2 linked regions of the Anolis sagrei genome follow. The protein of the gene in region 1 interacts with the protein of each later gene in a biochemical or structural test. Links are inferred from orthologs where the notes say so. Each region holds a gene or a part of one and is shown in the gene's direction. Other genes may lie near its edges.

What was found.
Region 2: the proteins of RARA (region 1) and TADA3 form a complex in vitro, tested with the Homo sapiens proteins (2 studies listed by BioGRID). The link is inferred for Anolis sagrei from reciprocal best matches to the Homo sapiens genes RARA and TADA3.

Annotation. Positions count from the first base shown.
Region 1 is NC_090026.1:39,867,875-39,874,729, reverse strand, and holds the start of RARA (retinoic acid receptor alpha), read left to right. Parts: upstream 1-3,851; 5' UTR 3,852-3,991; coding exon 3,992-4,340; intron 4,341-4,346; exon of another isoform or gene 4,347-5,535; coding exon of another isoform or gene 5,536-5,704; intron 5,705-6,855. UniProt on the Homo sapiens protein: Receptor for retinoic acid. Retinoic acid receptors bind as heterodimers to their target response elements in response to their ligands, all-trans or 9-cis retinoic acid, and regulate gene expression in various biological processes.
Region 2 is NC_090022.1:27,113,008-27,120,379, reverse strand, and holds the start of TADA3 (transcriptional adapter 3), read left to right. Parts: upstream 1-4,348; 5' UTR 4,349-4,361; coding exon 4,362-4,366; intron 4,367-4,921; coding exon 4,922-5,153; intron 5,154-6,463; coding exon 6,464-6,714; intron 6,715-7,372. Other genes in the region: tubulin tyrosine ligase 3-like, read right to left, coding at 91-209, 3,796-3,798. UniProt on the Homo sapiens protein: Functions as a component of the PCAF complex. The PCAF complex is capable of efficiently acetylating histones in a nucleosomal context. The PCAF complex could be considered as the human version of the yeast SAGA complex.

The DNA of each region.
Region 1 (6,855 bases):
TTACACAGCGGTGGGGCACTCTCCACCATGAATTCAAAAGCGGCCCTATTTATAAAGGGTTTAAATAAAACACATGATTTTAATTTCTTACTTTGTCTAATTTCTTTTGGTTTGGCTAGTCATGAGAGAGGAGCAAAAGGATGCATGAAACACATCTCCTGTCTCTTCGTGTTTCACACAGGCCCCGTTCTGCCTTTACCAACCATTCCACGTACTTTCACAATTTGTTTTACCAAGTTTGTGGAGTAAATATAATTGTTTTCTTTCATTTATGCTTCTAAAAATGGGACGGGTGTGACATCAGAGAACCTTGGGATACTGACTACAGTATTAAATTCGATCCTTGTACAAAATAGTTTTTTTTAATCGTGTCAGAAGCAACTTGAGAATATACTGCAAGTCACTTCTGGTGTGAGAGAATTGGCCTTCTGCAAGGATGTTGCCCAAGGGACACCTAGATGTGTTACCATCCTGTGGGAGGCTTCTCTCATGTCCAAGCGTGGGAAGCTGGGGCTGACAGACAGGAGCTCACCCCGTCTCGTGGATTCAAACTGCCAACCTTAGCAAAATAGACATAGTTCAGTTCTCACTCATTGTTGTCACACAATATTTTTGGTCCATGTTCCTGATAGAAGAGGCCTATAGCTTTCAGGATCCATTCTGTGCCTGCAGAAGAGCCAGTGTTCAGTCCTTGGCATCTCCAGATAGGACTTCATGTGACCCTTTCTGTAACCCTGAAATGCCATTGTCTATTAAGGAAAGCATGAGTGATCTAGATAGACAAATGGACCAACCTGCTACAGTCAGCTGTCCACATTCACTGGCAGTAAGGGCACAGGATCCCATGAAAAAAACCCGTGAATAAAAAAATACTATTTTTAAAACTGAGAGAACACCTCTCTAGGAATTTCAAGGTTCTCCAGCATAACTCTGTGGTCAATTTCTGTTGGAAGCTGACCATAGAATCATTCCCTGGAGGATCTCGGGATTCCTAGAGAGAACATTTGAATCATATCTACAAAAGTCAAACTCGCAAATGTGGAGTCTAGATTAACTGAAAAGGCATTGAGTCAGTTGCTTCTGCATTTCTTCTTTTGCTTGATGGCGTACCTATGCTTTGATCCAGTTTTGATGTTGAGAAGATTTCATGGATCAAAAAACGTGTGTTTCCTGTCTAATTTCTCCAGCCCTTAGTGCAGGGCTTTCCAAACTGAGTCACGATATGTAGGTGTGTCTTTATCATATTGGGATATAATCCATTTATATCAATAAAAAAATAAAGATTTTTCCTTCATATTAAGTCTAGTTGTGTCCAACTCTGCGGGGGGTGGTGGTGGTGGTGGGGTGCTCATCTCAATTTCTAAGCTGAAGAGCTTAGAAATGTCTGTAGATGCCTCCAAGGCTATGTGGCTGGCATAACTGCATGGAGCGCCATTACCTTCCCACTGAAGCGCTACCTATTGATCTACTCACATTTGCATGCTTCTAAACTGGTAGGTTGGCAGAAACTGGGGCTAACAGCGAGTGCTCATCCTGCTCTCCAGATTTGAGCCGCCGACCTTTCAGTCAGCAAGTTCAGCAGCTTAGAGTTTTAACCCACTATGCCACCGGATGCATCCTGTATTGAGCCCCTACGTCCCATCCTGTAACCTAAGATCATCCGGGGAGGCCCTGCTCTCGCTTCCGTCTACTTCGCAAATGCATTTGGCAGGAATGAGAGACAGGGCCTTCTCGGCGGTGGCTCCCCGCCTATGGAACGTATTCCCAAAACGATAGAAGATCGACTCCATCCCTCCTGGCTTTCAGGAAAAAATTAAAATCATGGTTTTGTGGACAGGTTTTTGGGCAGCAGACATAATGAGCACTTTAGTTGGACATTGACTGGAATTGATACTATCATATTGCTCTACTGTTTTAATTAATGTTGTATGTACTGGTTTTAATGATTGCGTATGTATTTAATTTTGGTTATATTATTGTAATTGTTATATAGCGACATTGTATCATTACTAAATGTAAGCCGTCCTGAGTCCTCCTTCGGGATTAGAGAAGAGACGGGGTAGAAATACCAGAAATAACTAAATAAATAATCTTTATTTATACCCCACAGTCTCTCCCCGGAGGGACTTGGTGTGGCTTACTCGGCGTTAGTGAGCTTGTAGATACATTGACTCATCTTGTATCCAAATCCCCATCCTTAGACAGAGGTGTGTGTCTTACTAAATGTAAGCCGTCCTGAGTCCCCCCTTTGGGGTTGGAGAAGAGACGGGGTAGAAATACCAGAAATAAATAAATTTATACCCCACCGTCTCTCCCCGGAGGGACTCGGTGCGGCTTACTCGGCCTTAGTAAAACCTCGACCTTAGTGATCTTGTAGGTACATTGACTCATCTTGGATCCAAATCCCCATCCTTAGACAGAGGTGTGTGTCTTACTAAATGTAAGCCGTCCTGAGTCCTCCCTTTGGGGTTAGAGAAGAGACGGGGAAGAAATACCAGAAATAAATAAATTTATTTATACCTCACCGTCTCTCCCCAGAGGGACTCGGTGCGGCTTACTTGGCCTTAGTAAAACCTCAGCCATAGTGAGTTTGTAGATACATTGACTCATCTTGGATCCAAATCCCCATCCTTAGACAGAGATGTGTGTCTTACTAAATGTAAGCCGTCCTGAGTCCCCCCTTCGGGGTTAGAGAAGAGATGGGGTAGAAATACCATAAATAAATAAATTTGTTGTTCATTCGTTCAGTCGTCTCCGACTCTTCGTGACCTCATGGACCAGTCCATGCCAGAGCTCCCTGTCGGCCGTCACCACCCCCAGCTCCTTCAAGGTCAGTCCAGTCACTTCAAGGATGCCATCCATCCATCTTGCCCTTGGTCGGCCCCTCTTCCATTTGCGTTCCACTTTCCCCAGCATACTTGGATCCAAATCCCCATTCTTAGACAGAGGTGTGTGTCTTACTAAATGTAAACCGTCCTGAGTCCCCCCCTTCGGGGTTAGAGAAGAGACTGGGTAGAAATACCAGAAATAAATAAATTTATTTATACCCCACCGTCTCTCCCCGGAGGGACGCGGTGCGGCTTACTCGGCCTTAGTAAAACCTCGGCCTTAGTGAGCTTGTAGGTACATCGACTCATCTTGGATCCAAATCCCCATCCTTAGACGGAGGTGTATGTCTTACTAAATGTAAGCCATCCTGAGTCCCCCCTTCGGGGTTAGAGAAGAGACGGGGTAGAAATACCAGAAATAAATAAATTTATTTATACCCCACCGTCTCTCCCCAGAGGGTCTCGGTGCGGCTTACTCGGCCTTAGTAAAACCTCGGCCTTAGTGAGCTTGTAGGTACATTGACTCATCTTGGATCAAAATCCTCATCCTTAGACAGAGGTATGTGTCTTACTAAATGTATACCGTCCTGAGTCCTCCCTTCGTGGTTAGAGAAGAGACGAGGGTAGAAATACCAGAAATAAATAATCTTTATAACCCACCGTCTCTCCCCGGAGGGACTCGGTGCGGCTTACTCGGCCTTAGTGAGTTTGTAGGTACATTGACTCATCTTGGATCCAAATCCCCATCCTTAGACAGAGGTGTGTGTCTACGTGTGTACAGATGTCAGTTGCCCGGCTACATCCCACTTTTTTTTGTTATAAACATATCTAAGCAGGTTTTGTCTCCCTCTTTCCTTACTGGCCTCTGCACCATGGTCCCTATAACCAGGTATCTCCCTTGGCTGGTGGGTCTGGATTCGACCGTGTGGTGATGTTTGGCCGAAGCAGCAGCAGCGGCATGCCGGTGGCAGCCCTTGGCAGGCAAAGAGGAGGAGGAGGAGGGCGCCCCTGTGATGTCACAGGGAAGGAGAAGGCCTGTGAGTGGGTCATTTGGAGGTGAAGCTTTTTTGCAAGGAGAGTTCAGGCGGAGTTCAGCTGCATAACATTACGCAAATGAGGGGCGGCTAGAGGAGCAGCAGAGACCTCCCTTTCTGAGAGGGGTGATGCAGGCGAAGAAAGGGGCCGCCCGGGCCGGTTCCTTGCCATACAAAAAAGAGGGGGCCCTCCTGCTTGTCCTCCTCGCCGAGGAAGCCGCCACTGCTGCTCCGCTCCAGCGATGGGGAAAGCACCCGAGGAAGATGCAGGCGCTGCAGCTTTGTAGCTGGAGACAGCTGTTGGAGAGGCATTTTTTTCCATGGCTGTCATTTTTCCCCCCCTTCCTCCGTCCCTCCTCCCCTTTTCTTTCTTTCATTCATTCATTCCTCTCTCTTTCTCTCCTCCTCCTCTTCCTCCTCCCCCATCCTGTGCTTCCCTGCAGTTGGTTGGGGCTGCGCAAGACACAGCACGTGGCAGGTAAGGAAAGAGTTAAGCCAGTCCAGAGCCGACTTTTCGTGTCAGGAAAGATTTTGTGCTGCCTTTAATCTATCAGTCCTGTACATCACACACACACACAGAGGCGTGCACGCACCCACACATTCTCTCTTTCCCTCTCTTTCCCAGGGAGAGAAGGAAGGAAGGACCAAAAGAAATCTGCAACCAAGGAGATTCAGGGGGGGTTCCAGGCCTTGGCATCTTCTCAAGCATTCAAAACCTGACAACACATTTGTACCATTCATCTCTTCTCTTTCTCTCCTCCCCTCCCCTCCGCCTTTCCCTCCCTCTCTTTCTCTGGCAGGGGACAGAGATGCAATTTTAAGATATGTGTGTACATAACCCATGAGCACAGTTTTCGGTGCATTACATTCAGTCATCTGCTGGACAGGAAAAAGCTCTTTTATTTCTACCAGGAAGCCTTACTTCTTCTTTTTTTTTTGTATGAGTGTGTGTGAAACTTTTTCTCCCCCCTTTTTTTAAAACTGAAGCGAAAGGATATTCCTTCCCCTCCCTTTCCTTTCTTTCCTCTTGTTAGTTTGGGAGAAGGAGAGAGAACCATGGGACTGAACAGGAGGCGGAAATGTGACCAAAATGCTATCTAACACCAGTGAGTCTCCTTCTGGTTTTTGGGAAGGCGGAGTGGATTTTGTTATTATTATTTTTTTCTCAAAGTAAAACATTCCTCTTCTTTTTCTTTTCTTTTCTTTTTTTGGGATTTATAAATACATTTTGTCTCGAAACGGGAAACAGCATCTCAGCTTGGATTGGCCGGCCTATTTCCCAAGGGACGCGTCTGGAATAGAAGATTGAAGACTTGAATATTATCTTTTGGGTTTTGTTTTTGTTTTGTTTTTTTGTGTGTTTTAACTCGAAGCAAAGACACTGGTGGCCAACCCGGCCTGTTTGGCGGATTCCCCAGCCGCGTTTGGATTCCCTAAATACTTCCCCGCTAGGGATCAAGAGGCGGCGGAGAGGGGGAGAAGGATCAGGAAACAGAAAACAACCGACAAAAAGCCTCCCCCTTGTCTCTTTGGGATTCGTCGTCGTCGCCAGTATAGGATTCTGCTCTCCGATCCTTCAGAAACCAAACTTTTGCTTTGATTCCCTCCTTCCCATCCCCCTCCACCCTCCACAAGCCCCCAACCTTCTTATCCTCTTGTTCTGCCTGGAGAAGATGTACGAAAGTGTGGATGTAGCTGGTTTAAGCAACAGTCCTAACCCCTTCTTCATGATGGATTTTTACAACCAGAACCGTGCCTGCTTGATCCAGGACAAAGGACCCGGAAACCCTAACCCTTACAGCACCCCTGTCCGTAACCAGCATTGGAACAGTTCCAATCACTGTACGTATAATGCGATCCCCCTCCTGGGCCCGGCCCAGCTGGGGTGACACCCTCGTTGCCCTCTCTCCCCTCTTGCCAGCTTTTGAGGTGACCTTATTAAGAAAGATTAGGAGCTGCCCTGTAATTGAGTGGGGTGGAGGTTGGCAGGATGGGATCTGTCATCTTTGGTTTAGGGAGACCCAAAGCCTACCCTGTTGTGATTTGCATTGGAGGGTTGGGATCGAGAGCTGGGGCTATAAAATGGTGCTTTTGTATTGTGGTTGTATGCGTATTGGGGTGCGCGCTGCATGTTGGGTCCTTTTCTTATTTTTGCTTTGGAGAGAACCATGCCCTGTTGAGACACATGGCTTTCCTTTCCCCTTCCTCCCAAATGCTTTCAGATTCTCTATGAGAATTTTTACCTTTGGATTCCCTTTTAATCTGTTAGTATTAAGGAATATTTCCAATTCTGTTGGTTGTGTTTCGAGTGGTCGGTGAAGGGAATGGTGCCAAATAGCAAAATCCACAAACAAGAGTGACTTATATTTTTATATGTAGGTGAAAGGACTTTTTCCACAATGCTTTGGTGTCCAGCTCAAGTTTATGTGGGTGGATACTCCCTCCTTATTTATCAGCAATTCTCCCTTGCCATTGGCCCATATTGAAAATACTCTCAGCTGGGTCTGTAACAGTGCAAACTTCTAATATTGTCTCTGCTCAGTGCAAGTATGCCATTGCTTTCTCTTATATGTTGTCCCTTCCCCCAACTCCCCAGTGGTGGACAAACAGTCCCACGGTCTGTTTAGTTTGATCTAGGTAACAATTAGAGGACTTGCATTGGAGGGAGGAGTTGTTTATGTTTCCATAGATTGATTTTTGTATGAATTTGATCCAAATCTGGGGAAGGAAACACAGAGGAGAGGAGTTGCACCAAGTAAACTCCCCTCCTTTCCAGCTGGGTGTTCAGTTCCCAGCCTCTGATAAGATCTCCGGCAAAATCCAATTAACTAAATAGTACACCAAGCCTTTAATCTTTCTATATATACATATGCGAACAGCCTCTCTGTGGGTGAGTGGGTGGGTGGGTGAGCTAGCAGAGAATGGGATGGTAGTGGTGGGGAAACAGGCCATATTTGGGGTGAGGGTCCTTTCTGAACTTTGTGTGCGTAACA
Region 2 (7,372 bases), on another chromosome or scaffold:
TTCGGGGGGGGGGGGGGGGGGAAGAGAAGGTGACAACAATACCCTCTCCCCAAGAAATAAAAGCTTGCACATTCTCCTCCTTCTCCTCACCTGACTTCCACCTCAGGCTTGTTGTGCCGCTCCACCACTTGGGATGAGAAGTTCTCCAGGCACATAGCAGCCTGCAGGGTAGCACGCACGGCATTGAGATAGGGACGGAGGGTGGCGGTCTGCAAAGAAGGAAAGGCAAAGGCATCAGACGCTGCAAGTTCCTCTTTAGGTCTCCATGACGACACACCTTAAAAACAGCCCACATTCTCCCAGTCCAATCAACCTATTAGCTAACATTGTTCCCTTTTACCAGCCTACACTGTTCTCCAGCACATGTTTGTATTTTTTAATATACAACATACACTCATTGTATGTAAATTGTATGTAAATTGCAGGCAGGTTTTGAGGCCAACATTATTTATTCTTATATGACCCAGGGGTAAGTTGAGGGTAATTCTGCTGAGAGGAGAGAACACCAATGCTGCCTCGAGGAGTCAGTCACCTCTGGCTGCCATTCTCCCACCCAGGTATTCAAAAAGCAGCATCACAGCAGGCCAGTAGAAGGTGTCTATGCTTTTTTAAGGTTCACCCAGAATAAGCTAAGCTCTTGCCCTTTCCCTCTTTATTGAAAGGTTCCTTTTTTGATCAGTGTTAAAATACAGTACTTGCTTTGACCTATGGAAAAGTCAACAATAGGTTTTGGGAGCTGATTTTTTAACAAAAAAAAATTCTAGACTTTGAAATCCATATAGAGTATGTATTTTAATTTTATTTTATTATACCCTGACCTTGAGGAAAGGTGGTTAAGAAATAAAATCCATTATTTTGTTATTTTGCAGATTCTCTACTACAACTGTCTAGACAATTGTATCATTAATATTAAGAACAATTCAACTGTCTAGACCAAGCATGGACAAACTTGGGCCCTCCAGGTGTTTTGGACTTTAGCTTCCACAATTCCTAACAGCCAAAGTTTTCCATGCCTGGTTTAGAGATATTAATGAGCATATAAGAAATATGTTTTAATTATTACATTTTTTAAATTATGTTGTTTTCTGGTGTTGAGCAGAGGCAGGCATGAGATAAAATATGTTGTTGTTGTCGTTATGGCTGTTGTTATCACGCTCACTTGTGGATATGTCAACTCAGGCTTTGGGTTTACTAAAATTTCTAGACTTATACATGGCTTTAGAGTATGTATTTTAATGGTTTATGTTTTTATGTATTTTAATTATATTGTCCCCTAGACTCAAGGAGGGGCGGTTAAGAAATAAAATTCATTATTAATATTATCACATTGATCCATGGATATGCAGACTCCGCTTTTGCAGGCTGACTTGTCCACTACAATTGTCTAGACCAGGCATGGGCAAACCTGGGCCCTCGAGGCGTTTTGGACTTCAACTGATAGGAACTGTGGCTATTAGGAATTGTGGGAATCAAAGTCCAAAACACCTGGAGGGCCGAAGTTTGCCTATACCTGATCTAACCCTTCATCCAAGTCATTACGTGTAATAAAGATATTGTACAGTACTGGGCCCAGGACAGATCCCTGCGCCACTCCAAGTCACTTCTTTCCAGGATGAAGTGGAACCATTAGTGAGCACCCTTTGGGTTCGGTCACTTAATCAATTACAGATCCACTGGGTTGCTGAGAGTTTTCCGGGTTGTATGACCATGTTGCTGTAGCAATCTCTCCCAACGTTTCGCCTGCTTCTGTGGCTGGTATCCCCTGAGGTTAGTTAATCAAACTATTATATGACTAACACTACGATATTATTATTTGAAACACAACAAGACGAGTCCACAGCAGTCAAGATCACTCTGCTTGCTGTTGTATTGGATCACACGTCGGACACTTCCCAAGTGTTTATGACTGTGTGATGTATCAGTGAATAATGCGTGCAGATCCCAATAAGGTGGCCTTCTGCAGCTGGCAGATGGCAATTTTGTCAGCGCCGATTATATTATTAATATTATTATTACCATTACCATTATTATTATTATAAGGAAAATTCTTAAGCAACATGCCCTCAGAATGCACTTTACTACTGGTTAGGATTGACTGCATTCCCTCTCTTTGAAAACCCTATACTAGTTATGTCCTACCTTGTTCATGCCCAGCGTTTATTTTTAAATTTTAAACTATTACATTTGGCCCGGCCATAGGTTTTTTAATCCTTGTGTTACAGTTTATTGGTTATTGTTTATGTGTGATTTATATTAATTGTATTGTATTTACTGGTTTTGCTTATTGCTTTTCTTTATTGATGTACTGTTGAGCTTGGCCTCATGTAAGCCGCTCCGAGTCCCTTGGGGAGATGGTGGTGAGGTATAAATAAAGTTTTATTATTATTCTTATTATTAGCTGTTATTTAACAGGGTTTTGGCTGTTTGTTTTTGTCGTGTCAGGTGTGACTCCTGGTGTGAGAGAATTGGCCGTCTGCAAGGACGTTGCCCAGGGGATGCCCGGATGATTTGATGTTTTTATCATCCTTGTGGGAGGCTTCTCTCATGTTCCCGCATGAGGAGCTGGAGCTCATAGAGGGAGCTCATCCGCCTCTCCCTGGATTCGAACCTGCGACCTGTTGGTCTTCAGTCCTGCTGGCAGAGGGCTTTAACCCACTGCGCCAACGGAGGCTCCTGGACTGTAAGACCTGTAATTGTGCTTCAATGCAATGTAATTTTGATATGTTTGAAATGTTTTAATATATTTTAATCATCTGAAAGACTATTTTAATTTATATATTTGTGTTTCTTATAGTTTTATAATACTGTGTTCTATTGATATTGTTGTTATCTGAATCTGGCATTGAATTGTTGCCATAGTTTGCAAACTGCCCTGAGTCCTCTTCTTTGGGGTGAGAAGGGCAGGGTATAAGTACAGTACATAATAATAATTATTGCAAATGAGATCTATATGCTGGATTTCGTATCAAGAAATCACAAGTTGAACACTTCCCAACCCTTTAAGCCTATATTATTATTATTAGTATTAGTATTATGGAGCCCCCGGTGGCGCAGTGGGTGAAGACCGACAGGTTGCAGATTTGAATCCGGGGAGAAGTGGATGAGCTCCCTCTATCAGCTCCAGCTCCTCATGCGGGGACATGAGAGAAGCCTCCCACAAGGATGGTAGAAACATCAAATCATCCCCTGGGCAACGTCCTTGCAGACGGCCAATTCTTTCACACCAGAAGCGACTTGCAGTTTCTCAGGTCGTTCCTGACACAACAAAAATATTAATATTATTATTAGCACTACTATATTATGCTGAGCTTGTGGACCAAAAGGTCGCAGGTTCGATTCCAGGGAGTGGCGTGAGCTTCCGCTGTCAGCCCTAGCTTCTGCCAACCTAGCAGTTCGAATACATGCAAATGTGAGTAGATCAATAGGTACCACTTCTGCAGGAAAGTAATGGCTCTCCATGTAGTCATGCTGACCACATGACCTTGGAGGTGCCTATGGACAACGCTGGCTCTTCGGCTTAGAAATGGAGATGAGCACCACACCCCAGAGTCAGACATGACTGGACTTAATGTCAGGGGACAACCTTTACCTTTTACTATATTATGACATTACTATTTTTCTGTAAGGAATCCTGCGAGAAATGTGGCCAAGGGCCTCTCTCTGGGACCTTCTTCTTCGCCCATTGACAGGCCTTCCCTCCTTCTTTCTGGCCTCGCCTTCCGCCTCGCCCGCCTCGAGCTCTTCCCTCCTCCGCCCTCCATCCACCCACCGAGGCCCTCCCGCTCACTGACTCACCATGGCAGCAAAGGCGACAGAAGCAGCAGCAGCGGCAGCAGCCCCGAAGCTTGGTCCCTAGTACGGAAGCGGAAGCGACCCCCGCCAAGACCAGATTTTCCCCCGCTTCCGGAATATCCGGACTGAACCACAATCGCTCTGAGAGGGGGGGTATCTGTATTTGAAATCCCGCCCTTAGGGCCTTTTAATTCTCTCCCGTTGTTGAAATAAGCCGCGATATCGTTTTAAGGAGACATAAAAACCGAGGTAGATATTCCCTCTAAAGTAGGACAGCGGCTACTGAGTTCCCTCCTGGTTCCTTTCCAACCCACCACCTCCCTTTTTCCTAAATTGGTACAACCCAAGCGACAGCCGGATTCCATATTTGGAAACAAGAGCGAGCGTGGGCGGGGCTAAAAGGAGCAGCCAATAGGGAGAGGCGGGAGGAGGGGAAAAAACCGGCCACAGAGATTGGTTCTAAGCCCTCGGAGGCGGGGCAATAAGCGCAGCGACGGGCCAATGAAAAGGCGGCAAGGGGAACCGGAAGTGGGGAGCGAGGAGGAAGCGGAGGAGGAGGAAGTAGTCTAATGCGGTAGAGCTCATTCGTGTAGATAGCCCTCCCTCCTCCCCCTCCCCAAGCTGTCCTGTCCTCCTGTGCCCCGGAAGTAGACCCTGGGACCGGAAGCCGCCCACAGCATTCTCCCCCTTTCCTTCCAGCGCCACCTCCTGGCCTCTTCCCTCTCCCCATTCATCTTCTTCACCGGCCTTAAACAGGCAGCCTCGCTTCTCCCCCTCCATTCTGTGTTTCCATTTGAATGCCTGCTCTGGTCAGTTCTGCAGAAGCAGGCCCTTGCATACCCCTCATCATTTTGGCCCTCTTAACCCTTTCCCTCAAAGCCATGGCTCCCATTCTTCTCCTTCTGAGCCTTTGCTTCTAGCTACTCCTTCTTGTCTTTTTAATTATGCCCGCAAAGCTGTTTCTTCACTGAATAGCTGTCACTGTTAGTGTCTCTTCCCATGACAACTGCCTGGGCCAATTCCTCGCCGACCCCACTTTATTTCTAGCTGTCACATTTATTTGCTCTTCCTTTCTCTCTCTCTGGTTGCACCTGCCTCTGTTGCACTTGTGTTGCTTTTCATTTTGCAGGACCATCAACACCGCCACCAGCAGCATGTCTGAGCTCAAAGACTGCCCCCTTCAGTTCCACGATTTTAAGTCCGTGGACCACCTCAAAGTATGTCCCCGCTACACTGCTGTCTTGGCCCGTTCGGAAGATGATGGGATTGGCATCGAAGAACTCGACACCCTGCAGCTGGAGCTGGAAACGCTGCTGTCTTCTGCTAGCCGCCGACTTCGTGTGTTGGAGACAGAGACACAGGTTAGGCGACGACTTGGAATGGTTCAGAGCAGGGCTTCTTAGACTTTTTCCATCTGCAGCACCTTCCTGTCTTGAGAAATGTTTAGGTAAAGGTAAAGGTAGTCCCCTGACATTAAGTCCAGTCATGTCTGACTCTGGGGTGTGGTGCTCATCTCCATTTCTAAGCCAAAGAGCCAGCGTTGTCTGTAGACACCTCCAAGGTCATGTGGCCGGCATGACTGCATGGAGTGCCGTTACCTTCCCGCCGGAGCGGTACCTATTGATCTAATCACATTTGCATGTTTTCGAACTGCTAGGTTGGCAGAAGTTAGGGCTGACAGCGGAATCAAACCTGCAACCTTTTGATCAACAAGCTCAGCAGCTCAGTGCTTTAACCCACTGCGCCACCGGGGGCTCCTGAGAAATGTTTACATAATATAATAATAATAACTTTATTTTTATACCCCACCAACCATCTCCCCATGGAGACTTGGGGCAGCTTACAAGGGACAAGTCCAACAATTACAAATAAAACACAACCAATTAAAAGCACCAGATAGAATATAAAACAATCACAATCGTAAACAACATCAAAATAATATGGCTAAGAAAGAACATAGCTAGACATAGCTGCAGTTCAGGCTCCATGAGTGGAGTACAAACTGAAGGGAGCGCAAGGAAAGTAGATCAACAATCAAGTAGACAGGGCTGGGAATAGTGTCATCAAAAGTGTTGAGGTAGGGCGCTAAAGGGCCGGTGTAAAATGCTGAACTTAAGGTAGGGACAGGGAAGATTACTGGTGGACTGCCTAATCAAAAACACACTGAAACATCCAGTTATATATCCTGCTTTTCTCCCTAATGGGACCCTAAGCGACTCACAATATAATACTTACTTACTTAGGGGATCCCTCGTAGGTCGAGGATGATGGTCCTCTTGGCGGTGGGTCCATAGGTGGCTATGGAGCCCTATTCTTGATTCACATGTTCTCCCACAGTGAGGACATAAGTTTCGAAGTGGAAAATGGTCCCGGTCAAGGTTGGTTTTATGCGCCTTCCTCTTGGCACATTTCTCCCTTTTGCCCTCCATTTGTGCCTCTTGTTTTGTTTTTATTTTCTTGGAATATGCCTGTGCATTAGTTTTTTTAATGTGTGGAGGTCGGTACACAGCTGATCAGCACACAGTTTTCACAGAGTGAGCCCCCTTATTGGGATCTAGTTAACAAAGTTATTGTGGTGTTGATTTTTGTTTTGTTCAGATCCTGACAGACTGAAGCTTTACTGGGATCTAGTTAACAAAGTTATTGTGGTGTTGATTTTTGTTTTGTTCAGATCCTGACAGACTGGCAAGACAAGAAAGGGGACAGGCGATTTCTGAAGCTAGGCAAGGAGCATGAAGTGGGCACACCTATCAAACACGGGAAACCCAAAAAGCAGAAACTAGAAGGGAAAGGAGGCCACAGCACAGGACAGGGCCCTGGCCGGCCCAAATCCAAGAACATACAGCCCAAAATTCAAGAGTATGAATTCCAAGATGACCCCATTGATGTGCCTCGTATTCCCAAAAATGATGCTCCTAATAGGTATGTAGGAGAAGTGTTTCCATCATCTTGTTTATGTTGTCATTAGCAACATGTTATATTGCATATATATTGTTATGAGAAAGAAAGGAGTTTTGGAAGAACCTTACCACCGCCAGCCAGAAGTTTCCAAACCTGATTTACAGTCTGGTGAGGTAGACAATTATTACTCTCTCTGAAATTACTGTTTCTGATATGAATGGAGATTTAATCCTGGTCAGCACACCATGCTATTGGGGGACAATTACTTCCACCTAATGCATCTTAATTTCTGTTATCCATTAATGAGGTAAAGCTGGTTGTTGAAGTTCAGTATTTGGAGGCTTTCTTCAACTTGATCATCTAGTACTTGATTGTAGTGTGGACTGTAAACTCATGTAAGCAGTAGTAAAAAAACAAAAAACAAAAAACAGAGCAGAGAAAGGCAGTGGAATACTGCCACATGTCTTTCTTCAACTTGATTCTGTTTGTTCAAAGTGAGGACTGGATTCTGGTTCAGAAAAAAGTATTTTTCTGTTATCTAAATCAGAGATGAGAAACTTTTAGCACTCCTAATATTTTTAATCAAAGTTGCCATAATCTACTATTGACCATGCTGGACGCCAGAGTTCAAAATATATTTAAGGGTGTATTATTTCCTTCTACTGTGCTGACTTGTGAA